2 linked regions of the Drosophila melanogaster genome follow. The protein of the gene in region 1 interacts with the protein of each later gene in a pairwise test. Each region holds a gene or a part of one and is shown in the gene's direction. Other genes may lie near its edges.

What was found.
Region 2: the proteins of CG31510 (region 1) and zfh2 interact in a two-hybrid assay, tested with the Drosophila melanogaster proteins (one large-scale study listed by BioGRID).

Annotation. Positions count from the first base shown.
Region 1 is NT_033777.3:25,116,632-25,124,531, reverse strand, and holds CG31510 (uncharacterized protein), read left to right. Parts: upstream 1-1,611; 5' UTR 1,612-1,971; intron 1,972-3,385; 5' UTR 3,386-3,502; coding exon 3,503-6,955; 3' UTR 6,956-7,314; downstream 7,315-7,900. Other genes in the region: vig2, read right to left, coding at 417-900, 1,053-1,133.
Region 2 is NC_004353.4:499,692-504,928, forward strand, and holds the start of zfh2 (Zn finger homeodomain 2), read left to right. Parts: upstream 1-2,118; 5' UTR 2,119-2,166; intron 2,167-4,159; 5' UTR 4,160-4,447; intron 4,448-5,237.

The DNA of each region.
Region 1 (7,900 bases):
CGGGAAAATGTTTGCCGTATAAGACAAATTAAAAGTTTAACCAAACGAATTTTATATTTTCGGTAACGAATTAATAAATTAATAAATTATAAGATCAAAAATCAAAAAAATCAAACAAAAAAATGTCCAAGAAAACACATGTGTGAACACACGAGTTTGCAACGCAGTAATTTCATTATTTCATCATTTAAAATTAATATTTACAAACACGTTTTCAAACGTTTTGCGTATTACAAATGCCTAAAAGTCACGTGAGAAATACGCGATATGTAATCAATCTTGTTGCCAAGGGTTGCGTTTTCTCTATATTTTGCAGCATGCCGCCATTACAGGGCAGCATTTTCCACGCAGAAAAAACGGATTCACTTGAGAAGCAAACACGAAAACCAAGGACAGAAGAATCTAGACATAATTACCAGTTCTATCGGATCCCGACTGGCGATCGAACTCGCGCTTTCCGAACTTCTCGCCGGTACGGACGCGTGGTGGTCCCCTGTTGTCACGATTGTTGAATTGACGCTGCGGCAACTCGTTTCCGAATTCTCCGTTCGACTCCTTATTTCCGTAGCGTTGGTTGTTGTTGAACCTGCCCTGGTTGTTGGCACCGTTTGCTGTTGGGTTCTTGGGACGACCCACATCCCCGCCAGCGGGACCCTTGCCGCCTTTCACTGGACTAGCGTTTTTAGCCACCGGAGCGTTGGCCTTGCGGGCAGCCACAACCGGCTTGTTCTCCTTCTCCGACTTGCTCTTTGGTGCCTTTGGCGCCTTTGCCGGTTCCGGCTTCTTGGGCGCCGCGACTACAGCGGCAATCTGTGGCTGTGCGAGCCCAGAGGAGTCATCGTCGTCCATGAACAACAGCTCGTAGCGGTTATTTCCAGAATTGTCCATGATGTAAAATTTCTACGGATTAAAATTGAACCAGATTTGAGAGTTACTTTGGTCCCAATGGCGACGATATGCTTTGCTGTTAACTTATAGGCACATGGCCGGCCTAGAGTTCAAACAAAGTGATAATCGCTTAAAATTGCGAAAACGCGGAGCAACTTACGCACCACGCCGGAAACGAAAGTGAAGGTAGAAACATCGATTGCAGGAAACATAAGGGCCACGATATGTTTCTCCGCTAATTGCATTTCGACAATCGATAGTTGCCGGTTCAATATCAGTATATATCTGTAAAAATTAAAATATATAATTTATATTTTCTGAACAATGGTTGGTTTTTGAAAAGGGATTTGATAATTTACAGCCTTAAATAAACCATATATGTATATTTACAATAATTTAGGAAAAGTTATACCTTAAAAATGTATAACAAATTTAAACTATTTTGAAGGTGTTGCAATTTTATTAATATAACCAAATATTATTATAAATGTTTAACCGATAGATACCAAATGGTGAGTAACGAGCAACTGTACAGAATAATGGTAATTATCGATTGTTTTGAAATAACGTAAAATGTGAATGGTAATTATTGATTTCCATATTTATAATAATTCACTCTATATCAAAAAATTTCACATTATATTTAAATTTCCATTTCATAAATAATACCGAAATGTACTCAATCGATTAATCGATTGCAGGTAGAGGTCACTACCAGCTCTAGCAGTCGGCCCATCGCCAGAAGGAGAACAACTTTTGGGCCCGTAGAGACAAATGTGACATTTGTTTCTTTGATGCGTTGCCATCGAAATTCTCTGTCCTCTTCGGCCTGATGCAAGTAATAAATTTAAGTAAAGGCAAATTATCCTTGTAATTGAAAGCGAGTCCATCGTGAATTGTGGCCATTGCGTACCGAACCGCGAGAGAGCAGACGAGCGAAGCAGCGACTGTCATCGAATTGGAATATTGGAAGCGACGAAGAGGAGAGGGATATCGAGCACCCAATAGCCCCCATCCACATTTACGTCCAACGGGCCCCCAAGTATTTGCAAGTGGTTAGAGGGCCGCGTTTGCGTTTCGCCGGTGAGTCCTCAAATAAGATACAATCCACACATATCCATTTCGATAATATTCATAAGTTATTCATAAGGCTAAGTCTAAGTGTGTGTGTTTCAGTTGGTTTCCCCATTTCCTCATGTGAACGCGGGACATGCATAAACAAAAAAATCAATATCTTCGCCTGCTATATGCAGTTCTTGTGAATTTCGTTTGTTTGTTTTTTTTTTTTTTGGAGCTTGGGGATTTTACTGTTCTCTAAATGGATTTTACCTTGACCTCTTCAGCTGCGCAAAACTGGCTTTGGCAGGCATGTTTTTGAAAGTTTTTAAGTGAGAAAACCAATTTGCTTTAAAAACTTGCCAAAAATATCGTGATGTCATTTACGGACTTTTTTGTTCTACCTTTTTTGGAGCTGTGTCGCGCAGAAATCGACAATATTATCATATTCGGTCAGGCAATGCGGCTCCTATTGCTTTTATGCATATGTCGACTTTTGGTTTTTATCCGAGTTTTCCAGGGGTGGTTCTACCCCTTCTCATAGATAACGTCTGGCCTAACTGTTACTTTTGCACCCTCAGTAGGTATGTTCCTTATATGGTAGCGTATCACAAATGGAAACAAGTGATGTGAAACATTTCATACACTTGGTAGAAATGTAGCATGGATCTTGGATTTCCGGCTGTAAAAGAAGGATACATTCACATAAAACCTTCTACTCAGCAAAAAAAGGGGCTTGTTCTGCAAAAAAAGCAGTTGACTAATCTCAGGCATCAGCAAGAATTATGCCCTTTGGACAGGTACTTTTTAAAGAATGTGTATTTAATTACAAATACAAAGCTGATTTACTATATATGAGTAATTTAACATCATTATCGATTTCAACTTTTTATGAAAGTGGAGTCAAGATGCGAGTTTACCATATCGAATGAATTTTAAAAAGCATCTATTTGCTGATCTAAAAAAGAAAATATTAACTTTTTAATATGCGACATTTATATTTTTGTTTTACCCGCATAGTATGCTAAATTCAAGCAAAGGCAACAGAAACCCTGCTTTTTGACTACATAACGCTTCAATTAAGTTCAATGCTTTTCATAACCGAGTTAAGGAGCTGACATTGTATTTCAATAAGTTCCACTAGTTATGGCATAGTCCTCTTTTGCTGGGTCATAATTTTAGCGCATGTAGTCATATAATTGTATTGCCGAAAGAAATAGACGTCATGAAAGGCCAGGACTGTATAATTCCTATAAATGTAATCGCATATTCCTAAATTTTTACCGACTTTTCTAATTTGAACTGTATGCCGTAGTCTAAGAAATTTAGTATTTACTGATTTCGTAGATCAATAGAAAATCAGCTTAATAGAGTAAGACTAACTTTTTGTTATTACTGCTTAAATTCTATATAAAAAACATTTTTTCCTTCAATTTTATAGCATCTCAATATCTGAAATCAAAAGAAAAATCAAATTTGTATCAAAACCGAAAGAAAAATTAACTTTCTCCGAGCCACATGAAAACTGTTTAATGTTTAAAGGTATTACAACCACAAAATGAATACCAAAAACATTGAAAACAAACCCATGGATGGGACCAAATTTCTTGATATGTTGTCAAAAATATCATTGGAGGAAATATTACAACTTGAATTCCGTAACAATCCAACTAGCAAATGGGAAACATTGGTAACCCCCTCATACCCGCTTCGGAAATACAATTGTAATATTTGCCGTGTTGTTCAGTTCGGCGACAAAAATTTGTTTAGCCACCTTAGTGGTAAAAAACATATTGCCGTAATGAAACTCAAAGAGCAATTGCAAATAAGAAACAAGCCCAGTGTAGCTCCACCCACAAAAAAGGGCCCTAACACCAATGCGAATAATAACAAAAACAGTCAATCTCCTGCTGTTAAAAATTTGCCAATTATAAACAAAAATGTACCAAATCAAAATAATAATGCAAACACTAACGTTGTTAAGCAGGCAGCTGGAAATGAAGTTGCAAAAACACAGCCGACGCAAAATAAAAAACCTGCAATGGGCGGTAAAACGAAAAGCACTGCTACCCCTAAGGTAGTAAATAATCCAAACACTCAAAAAAATATTCAGAATAGCACAACAAACATTCAAAAGAATGTGCCAGAAAACAGTCCACCCAATCAAAAGAATACATCAGTAAATAATACGCCTGTTAAGAAAAACACAGGGAATAATGCACCCGTACAAACGAGTGTTCCTATTATTGGCGCAAACGCGAAGAAAAGACCTAACCCAAACCCGGGAAATATTCAAGCCAAGAAGGCAAATGTGAATGCGGCCAACGCAAATAACACTGCTAATAAAAAGGCTCCACAGTCTGCAATGAATACAGCGAAAACTTCACAGAATTCTGGAGGTCCTGCTCCAAAAACTACTGTGAGCAATACTACTTCTCAGCAAGCAGTAAATGTTCAGATTGAAAAGCAACCATTAGAGCAAACAAAGCCAACTGTTCAAATTCCCTCACAGACTCCATCAAAGCCACAGTCGACGAAAGCTGTGCAGAATGCTAAATCGAATAACGCGGACTTGGCTCGCAGCAAAACGACTGATCCAGATATAGTCAAAAATCCGCTTGCCACGAAAATATCTTGTGTTCCGCTAGCCAAGCTTATAAACTCTACACCAGAGCGCGAGAAAGATCTCGTAATCATTGACGATTTGCCAAAAGAGGCTACAAAACCGCCAGAAACACCGAAAAAACCCATTCCAGTTCAAACGTCAAACCCGAAGCCTGTTATTGCGGCCAAGAAGCCAATCAATGTTGTTGCACAACCTGTGCGCCCTACTATCAATAAGGTAGTTAAGCCTTCATATGTTGCACCCAAGGATTACACAACAGCTAGACCTGGTGGCACATTTGAATCCAGGAAAGGTCATGTCATGGGTCTCGTTGGGGTAGAGTACGTTTTGAAAATAGTTAAGACCTTGGCTGACAACAATGCCAGATATCAATGTTGCCTCTGCGAGATCACTGCTGATGAGCAATCCATGCACAACCATTTGCTTGGCTATAACCACCGTTTAAAGTATTTTGACAAGCATTTCCCCACTGCAATGCGTCTGTACCGTCAGTATGTGTCCCATGTTCCGGAGAGCGAGGTGTGCAAAATAATGATGCCCATTTTTGATAAGCTTGCACATGCCATTGAAACGCACCATGGTCGAAAAAACGCCCATCTGTGCTATGAACATGTCTATTCGAAAGATCGCCAGAGTTTGTTCACCCAGGTATACAATAGAAAGCACTCGTCTGAAAAGATTGGGCCTTTGTTCACCCACGTCGTAGATGCTAAAGAGGTGGAGGAGTTGATCGACAAGATTAGAACCAACGTTCAGCCCTTGATAAACGTTGAAAATTCGAATCCTTACTACGTCCCTCCATACGTACCACAGTATGCGGGCTATCAGAATGTGCCCCAAAATAATACAGCACCCCCTATTGATGATGAAACTCACAAGCGAATGGTCGATAATTTTCTTAGGGACACCAGACATGGTTCGGGCGATGCACAGAAGTCCCGGAACGCAAAGCGGAACCGCTCAAGATCCAAATCACCTGATCAAAGAAAGAGGGTCGCCCCCAAAAGGCACTGGAATGTGGAGCGTAGGTCAGTGTCGCCTTTGCGCGATGGCGACATTTGGCAGGCGTACCGTCACATGGTAGATCTCAAGGTGCGTGAGCTAAACGTGTCCTTCGACACATACAAATCTGATCCCGAACAGCATCCGAGTTATCAAGCTGAGTGGCAAATGTTTTGGAAGCGCCGCAAGGATGAGCTTATACTGGCTGGCATTAATCATCGCACGTACAACTTCCAAAACGAATGGATTAATTTCTTTAATGCTCGTATCGAAGAATTGTACAGTCAAGATATTGAAAATATCAAAATAAAGTGTCGCGAACGGCTATGTCTGCCAATGACCAATAACGAATTGGAGGACGAAAAGTATCACGTTCATTTGGACAAAACTGATGAGCCCGATGATGAGCGCAGACCGGAATCTAGCATTGAACCGCAGAAAGTGTCTGTTGATGTAGAGACTCCGGTTGAGGAGCCGCCGAATGTGATTCATGTCCTTCGTCTTTTAACTGCTTTGGAGAATTATCTCGGAAGTCTGGGTCCTTTTGTTACCGAGATGCTAGTAAAAGCTCTGCAATCGCAGAAGATTTGTCCACAAAAGTTGCATACTTCAATTTTAACAGCCGAAAACTGTGCTATTTTGGAGACCGTTAAAGAAAAATTTACTGGTCTCTTGATCTCCCATATTTATGATCCCGCTAAAGAAAGGGCTTTGAAGAGAGCTATTAATGACACCGAACGGTTGCTTCAATGTGCCAGTAAACTTAACAAATCCAAAGATATAGAGCAGCTCGCTGAGAAACCAGAGTTGCAGATAGCCAAAAACTTACCGCATAACCTCGATAAACCATTAGATAAAACTGAGCTTGCGGCAAAACTGGCTTCTTCATTGGTGTCCCAAGGCAAAACATCTATAAACCGAGAGGAACTTCAAAAGATACTTCAGGTATATACGATGATTGAGCAGAAGAAACGCCAGGACATCCCACTCTCAACCAGTTCCGTGAATTCAGTGCCCAGCACTTCTACTAACTTGATTCCCAATTCCAATAACAATGATAATTTGTTGACACAACATTCATCCAGAAATTTAAACAACAATCCGACCAGTGAGTATACTGGTCAAAACTACTCCGGAAATGTGGCTCGATTTAACAACCAACAAAGCACTAACTTAGCTAACCCCTTCACTTCGAACGCGTATCCGACTGATCGTGGATTTGGCGGATCCGGCGGATATAATAGTCAATTCGGCTCTAAACTACCGGCAATCAACCCAAGCAGCGTTTTGCGAAACGATCTGACAACGTCGTCACTCTTCAACTTCAACACCAATTTGAACCCATCTTATAACAACCTTAACCGGAGGAATAATAATTTTTAATAGATAGTTCGTAATGCGGTTAGATTGATAAAGAGAACATACATTAAACCCACAATAATGTATTACATTTTCGAATTAGCTACATTCTTCAAAAATTTGTACAACATTTGAGAAATGGAATGTAAATAAATCGATTTTATAACGGCAGCCAATTGTTGTTAATTAATTTAGAAAAGGAAGAAGTTAGTTTAAGTATATATTAATTAGTTATCAATTAATTGTTTTTGAAATATAATATTGATAACTTTTTATATTTAGATTTTAGTGCATAAATTTTTGATTGCGTGTAAATATATAAATTATTTTCATAAAATAAATTGTATATTCAGAAAATGTAAGAATAAAATAATATGGAACCTAAAAAATTTGATTACCTGGAAACCAGATAACACATTTTCTTAAGTCATGTCCACTTAAATGGAAAGATGATTAATAAGAACTGTGTGTCTGGTGGAGAGGTCTATTATTTTATAATAGAATAGTAAGCACAAACGAACAGCGCATGGATCATCTAAGTACACTTTATTCCGCACATCAGGATGGACGCCATACTAGCATGTTACACCGTTTAAATAGGTTCAATAGATCTAGAACCTAGTCGTGAATCTAGAATATCCTAGCTTCCAGACAAACATGCGGTATGGATGCACACACTCAATTACTCCATGGAAAAGTGACAAAGAACACTCCGATTGATAACCCTCCGTGCTTAGCACTTCCAAAATGTTGACCATCTCGACGTTGGAAAGTTATCGCCTAAAAACAACTGCAAATCGATGGAAAACCCGTAGTTTTCCCTAAATAGCTTCTCTACTTATATTTAGATCAATCTATCTTTATATAGGCAAAACAAACCACCTGGTACTCACTCTACGTTGTTAATAAAGGTACGAAATAATTCTAAAGTAATTAAGACACCTTTTTCTAATAAACATATCTAAAGGG
Region 2 (5,237 bases), on another chromosome or scaffold:
GCTCGTAGAGTAAAAGGGTATACTAGATTCGTTAAAAAGTATGTAACAGGTAGAAGGATGACATTCCGACCATATAAGGTATATATATTCTTTATCAGGATCAATAGACGAGTCGATCTGGCCCTGTCCGTCCGTCTGCCTGTCCATATTAACGTCTAGATCTTAGGGATTATAAAAGCAATAAGGTTGAGATTAAATATACAGTTTCTAGAGACATAGACGCAGTGCGAGCTTGTTGCCACGGTCACTCTAACGTCCACAAACCGCCCAAAACTGCCACGCCCACAGTTTTGAAAAATATATTTTTATTTTTTGATTTCTCCCCATAACGGTCGCGACCATGCCTTTGAACAATTTAAAATTTTTCTTTTTTTATTTCCCAATGCCAAAAACTGTTGAAATTTTCCGTTCGCTTTTCCCCTAGCTGACTGATTTGTAGTTGATAGGATCCACCGACACCGGGACATTTGCACCACTCTATAATAAATATTAACCCGTGTATTAACCCATATGACAAATTTAATATCATCGCATATGTAATGCATATGCAAAATATATTTTTTATATTTTTTATATATTATATTACAAACACACTTTCAACAAAATATTTTAATTAATAAATAAAAGATTAAATGATGTAGATGTAGAAACTTGACCCTATAAGCATATATAAGCGCAGGATCACTTAAAAGGTCCGATTGTCCGTATTAACACCGATATCTCGGAAACTGTAAAAGATAAAAGAGAAAGAAGAATGCAGCGCATGCATGCATGTACGCATCGATCAAAAGTTATAATAGGGTACCAGATTCGATGAAAAAAAACCCTAAAAGTATATATATATTCTTGACCAGGATAACTAGATTCGATCCGTATGAATCCGTCTGTCCGTATGAACGCCTCGATTATTAAACATTCAGATTCCAGATACATTCCAGAGACGTATCATAAATACGCCCACTCTAATGCCCAAAACTGCCATGCACAAACTTTTCGATTTATTTTGTCTTTCTGATCGATTCTATCGATAGTCCTAAAAATGTTGAACTTTCTCGTTTGCACTCTTAAGCTTAAAAAATTCTTCATAAAAAAAATTTTCAATTATTTTTTAATGATTCGAGTGGTTTGTTCAACGAAGAAACATTTTAACATGCATTTTTTGACTATTCCGGTGGAATAGTACGCATGTACGCATGATATTTTACAAATATTGTACAATATTTACGCAAGACATGTCGCGGAAGTATAAACATTCTCTTTTGGTCCAGAAAAATGTTAAAAAGAACTCAAGGTTTCATAATTCATAACGGACGTGCCTGATCGGCTCTGCTAGTGATCCTAAATACATATGTAAGTAAGCATATTCAAGATCATCTCGGGTCGCATACATTCTACTATAGCGAACATAAAAAATATTACACACATAATATTGGGAAAAGCTTAATCGGTTTGCACATTCAAAAAATTTTATTTAATGACAATGTGATACGAATAATATTATACATATATTTTTGTATTTATAGATATTTTTGATATCTCCGAATACAAATATTGAGTAGTTATTGGGAAAACAAAGGATCTACTTTTAAATGTTGAGTCCACGATGCTTGCCTGTAGGTATTTCGGTTCAAAAGAGACATTGTGATAGTTTTGTACCAGTTTAATTACTATAATATTTCTGATCATTCTGCAGACAATGGGATGTGGAACTTGCCGTGTTGGATCTTTTAACATCCGTCGGCAGTAATACAAAAATAATGAAAGATGATTGCCCAAGCTGCACCCACACAAAACAAAGGCACACACACATGCATAACAACAGGCAGAAATTAAATAAGGAAAAGAGAGGCTCGCTGTGAAAGCATAAAGCACATTGGTACACCGTTTTATCACATCATCTCCCGTCTCGCTCTAACGTAATTACCACTCTGCGTGGCAATAATTACCCCATTACGGAAATCTCCCAAAGTCTCTCAGTGTCTCTCTTGAATGTTGATTTGTACGCATGACTCGATTCTGTTCGGCTCGGTCGGACTTTCGGAGAATAAAGAAGAGGAGAGCAGAGCTCGAGAGCCCCGGAGAGCATTAACCAGCAAGTAAACAAGTAAGCCTGCCTCTCAGCTCAGTCGAAAAAAAACGTTGAATGAGTCAGATGCGGGTCGGATGGTGAGTTTTAGAGCTCTCAAAGATGCGGTTTCGCTGTAGATCTTCATTATGATATATTTGCCGTTGGCGTGACTGTGAGACTAAATGTGACTGTGACTATTCGCTGGTTAAATGCGCTAAAACATAAAAAGTGACATAGTAAAAAACAACCAAAGAGTGAAACTAACTGCAATCTGAAATGTGTTACCTCTGTAATCAATCATTCACTGCTAGCCCAATCCCAATTCTGCGAATAGTGATATCTATGTAAAGTTCGATATGGGTGCGCGTTGTTATACGGCGTCTACTTGAGTTTTATATTTACTTTTTACTTTTGCGTTGTGTCGAACAGAGTATCACAAAAAAAACCTATAATGGCAAGAATGAAGAACACCGTGAACCTTTCGACCAGTTTCAAAAAAATGCATTGCGAGATCAGCCCAACTTCCTGCCCATACCTGCAAATGGATACATTCGATTAGAGTAAATAACAACCATGCCGGAACAATTCTGCGGCACTTCTTCGTAAAATATTCAGTTCGCTTCTGCTACATGTTTAAATCAGTCGGAAATATGGGTGCATGCTAACGGTGCAGTTCCGAGCAGAAAACAATACACTCACCCTTATCCTTATGTGTGAGGTGCATTGGTATTGGAGTTCTGGTCCCTAGCAACAAAAACTTCAATCCGTAGACAAAAGCAGAGTTTCATTCCACTTCCAATGAGGACAATCCTGCACTATTTTGTTTGATGTATCGAAGCTATCGAAAACGGATTCCGTCCGGGAATAGTTTTTTATTTTTAATTGCATTATGTGCCAAACGATCCCAGCCGAGTAAAGCCGAGCTGCCTTGAGCTGAGAGCAACGAGGGTGTGCGAACGGAAGTCGCAGGAAGGAAAGAAGCTGAAAAGAGCACACCACAGGCACAGGAAAGGGTGCTGTGCCGCGCTAGTCGGTTGTTGGATGTTCTCTATGAATTGCCTTCAGCGATTTAATGAGCACGTGGTCCACGAGAGAAGTATATGCAAAAACGCTGTGTGTCTATTTCTGTCTCTGTCTTGGTCTTGATAGCTCTCCCCTCTTCGTCGCGGTGTCTGCACTGGGGTGGGCGGATGGCAAGTGATGGGAGGGAAAGGAAGCAGAACTTCCCACTTGTGATTGTGCTTGTGACTGTGCGTGTGTGAAAATGTGTGTATAAAAAAGAGACAACTGTCTCGCTTGCGATATAAGCAGCCAACTAGGAGTAAAAGTGTTTATATTAAAATGCAAAATCCCAAGAAGTTGGCAAATTAAATCAAGGGGCGTAACGCGCGCGAACACACTCTCCTTGCACTCATCCAATTCGCTCGATTTGCTCTCTTGAAATTTGCACACATTGCAGATATAATTACAAGTGTAAGAAAAAAAGACATTTAACATAGTTTTCAGCACCCGTTCGTTCTATATAAAAAAAAGATTTTGTGTGAAAGTTAATGTCTTTTCAAGCCATTGTGAATTTCTTTTATTTGGTCTTTAGTACAATCATTCTTTCAAAAAACTGGAGCCATATATGTATGTACAGTGATAAAGTGGTAAAGTCCTTGGCAAAACTACTTTTGTGTTGCCAACTGACTGCTGTGGGTCGATCACCTTTCGACTGTCACCTGCCACTGGTCACGGCAATTTCACCCGCATACACCTGTATACATATGTACATAAACTGGCACATCAGGGTTTTTACTTAATTGGGTTCTTTTTAAGCCTTGCTGTTGCCTGCCGGCTTCTCCCTAACATCCTGTCTATTGACCACCTGTCTCAAGTTGATGGCTTCACATAAATGCAAAATCAAAACCGCAAACCCTATTGAGAGAGACCGTATTTGAGGGTCAGTAAAATATGTAACCAATAATTTATATATAAAATATACCAATGTCTGAAGAACTTTGCACAATTCGAATGTATAACACTAACTTGTAATAGCTAAATATTTCAGGTGAAAATAATAATAAAATTGTTCACAAAATTACTCTTTAGGTGCCGCAGGCTAATTATCTCGCCCAAATCCACGAGCGCTCGATTCAAAAGTTCCTATAATATTTAAGCCTAAAGTTAAACATAACATAGTACAAACTATCGCCGCTAACTTAAAGTAATTCACGATTGAACTAGCTAATAACCCAACTTACTCCAAGTCTAAACGCTCGCAAACATACATAAGTGCAAAAACAAAAACAGCAAGGAGAAATCGAACGCCCTTATTTGAAGGATCTTCATTTCAATCGTCGAATGGCTTAAGGATTCAACTTTTCATAAGGACCTCAAGTGAGTACAATATTAGATTTGGTAAGGGTATGTTGTCTAGTTGTATGCGCAAAATTGGTCCTTTGTATACAAATAATCATATCATAGCCTCCAGAAGATATGGATAAAAAATATGTCTCGATAGTATTTTATTTTCAAGTACAAACCAGTTACGAATCTTATTTTATATATGAATAAAACAAGAACGTATTCATTATTCGTGTATATCGACTATATATACCCTCATAGCCGTCTATAAGACATCATTACCTCAGTTATACAATCAGCAATACCTCATAACACAATGAATTTTCGGTTACACCTTTCATGTTGAGTCCCAAATACTATAGATCAACAATGACGGTTAATGAGAAAATATATATATTGTTTCCATTTTATTTCTATGACATTTTTTTTATTAATGAGTCCGATTCGTTTCGACATATTTACGTATATACTAAATACAATAGAAAGAATATTTTCGGGAAAAGTTAATGCTTTAATAGCTTATAGCCTTAAATCTGAGAGAGTATTTGGCGTAGGAACAAGCAGGCAAACTGACTATATAAGCTCGGCTGTTTTTGCTGATCAAGAATATACCTTCACTACATTGCATACTTCTGAGAAAAATTGCATATAGTGTAGGCAATAAGAACGCCTATATGTAAGTTAAATATCATTAAATAAGTTCGTATTTAACAGCAAAGGCTGCAAATTAAGAACGAACAAGTATTTGCAAACATTATTGTCTGCGGAATTAGTGTTTCGTATAAGCGCACCAAATAATAGCTATTGGTTCATCATGTCAAGT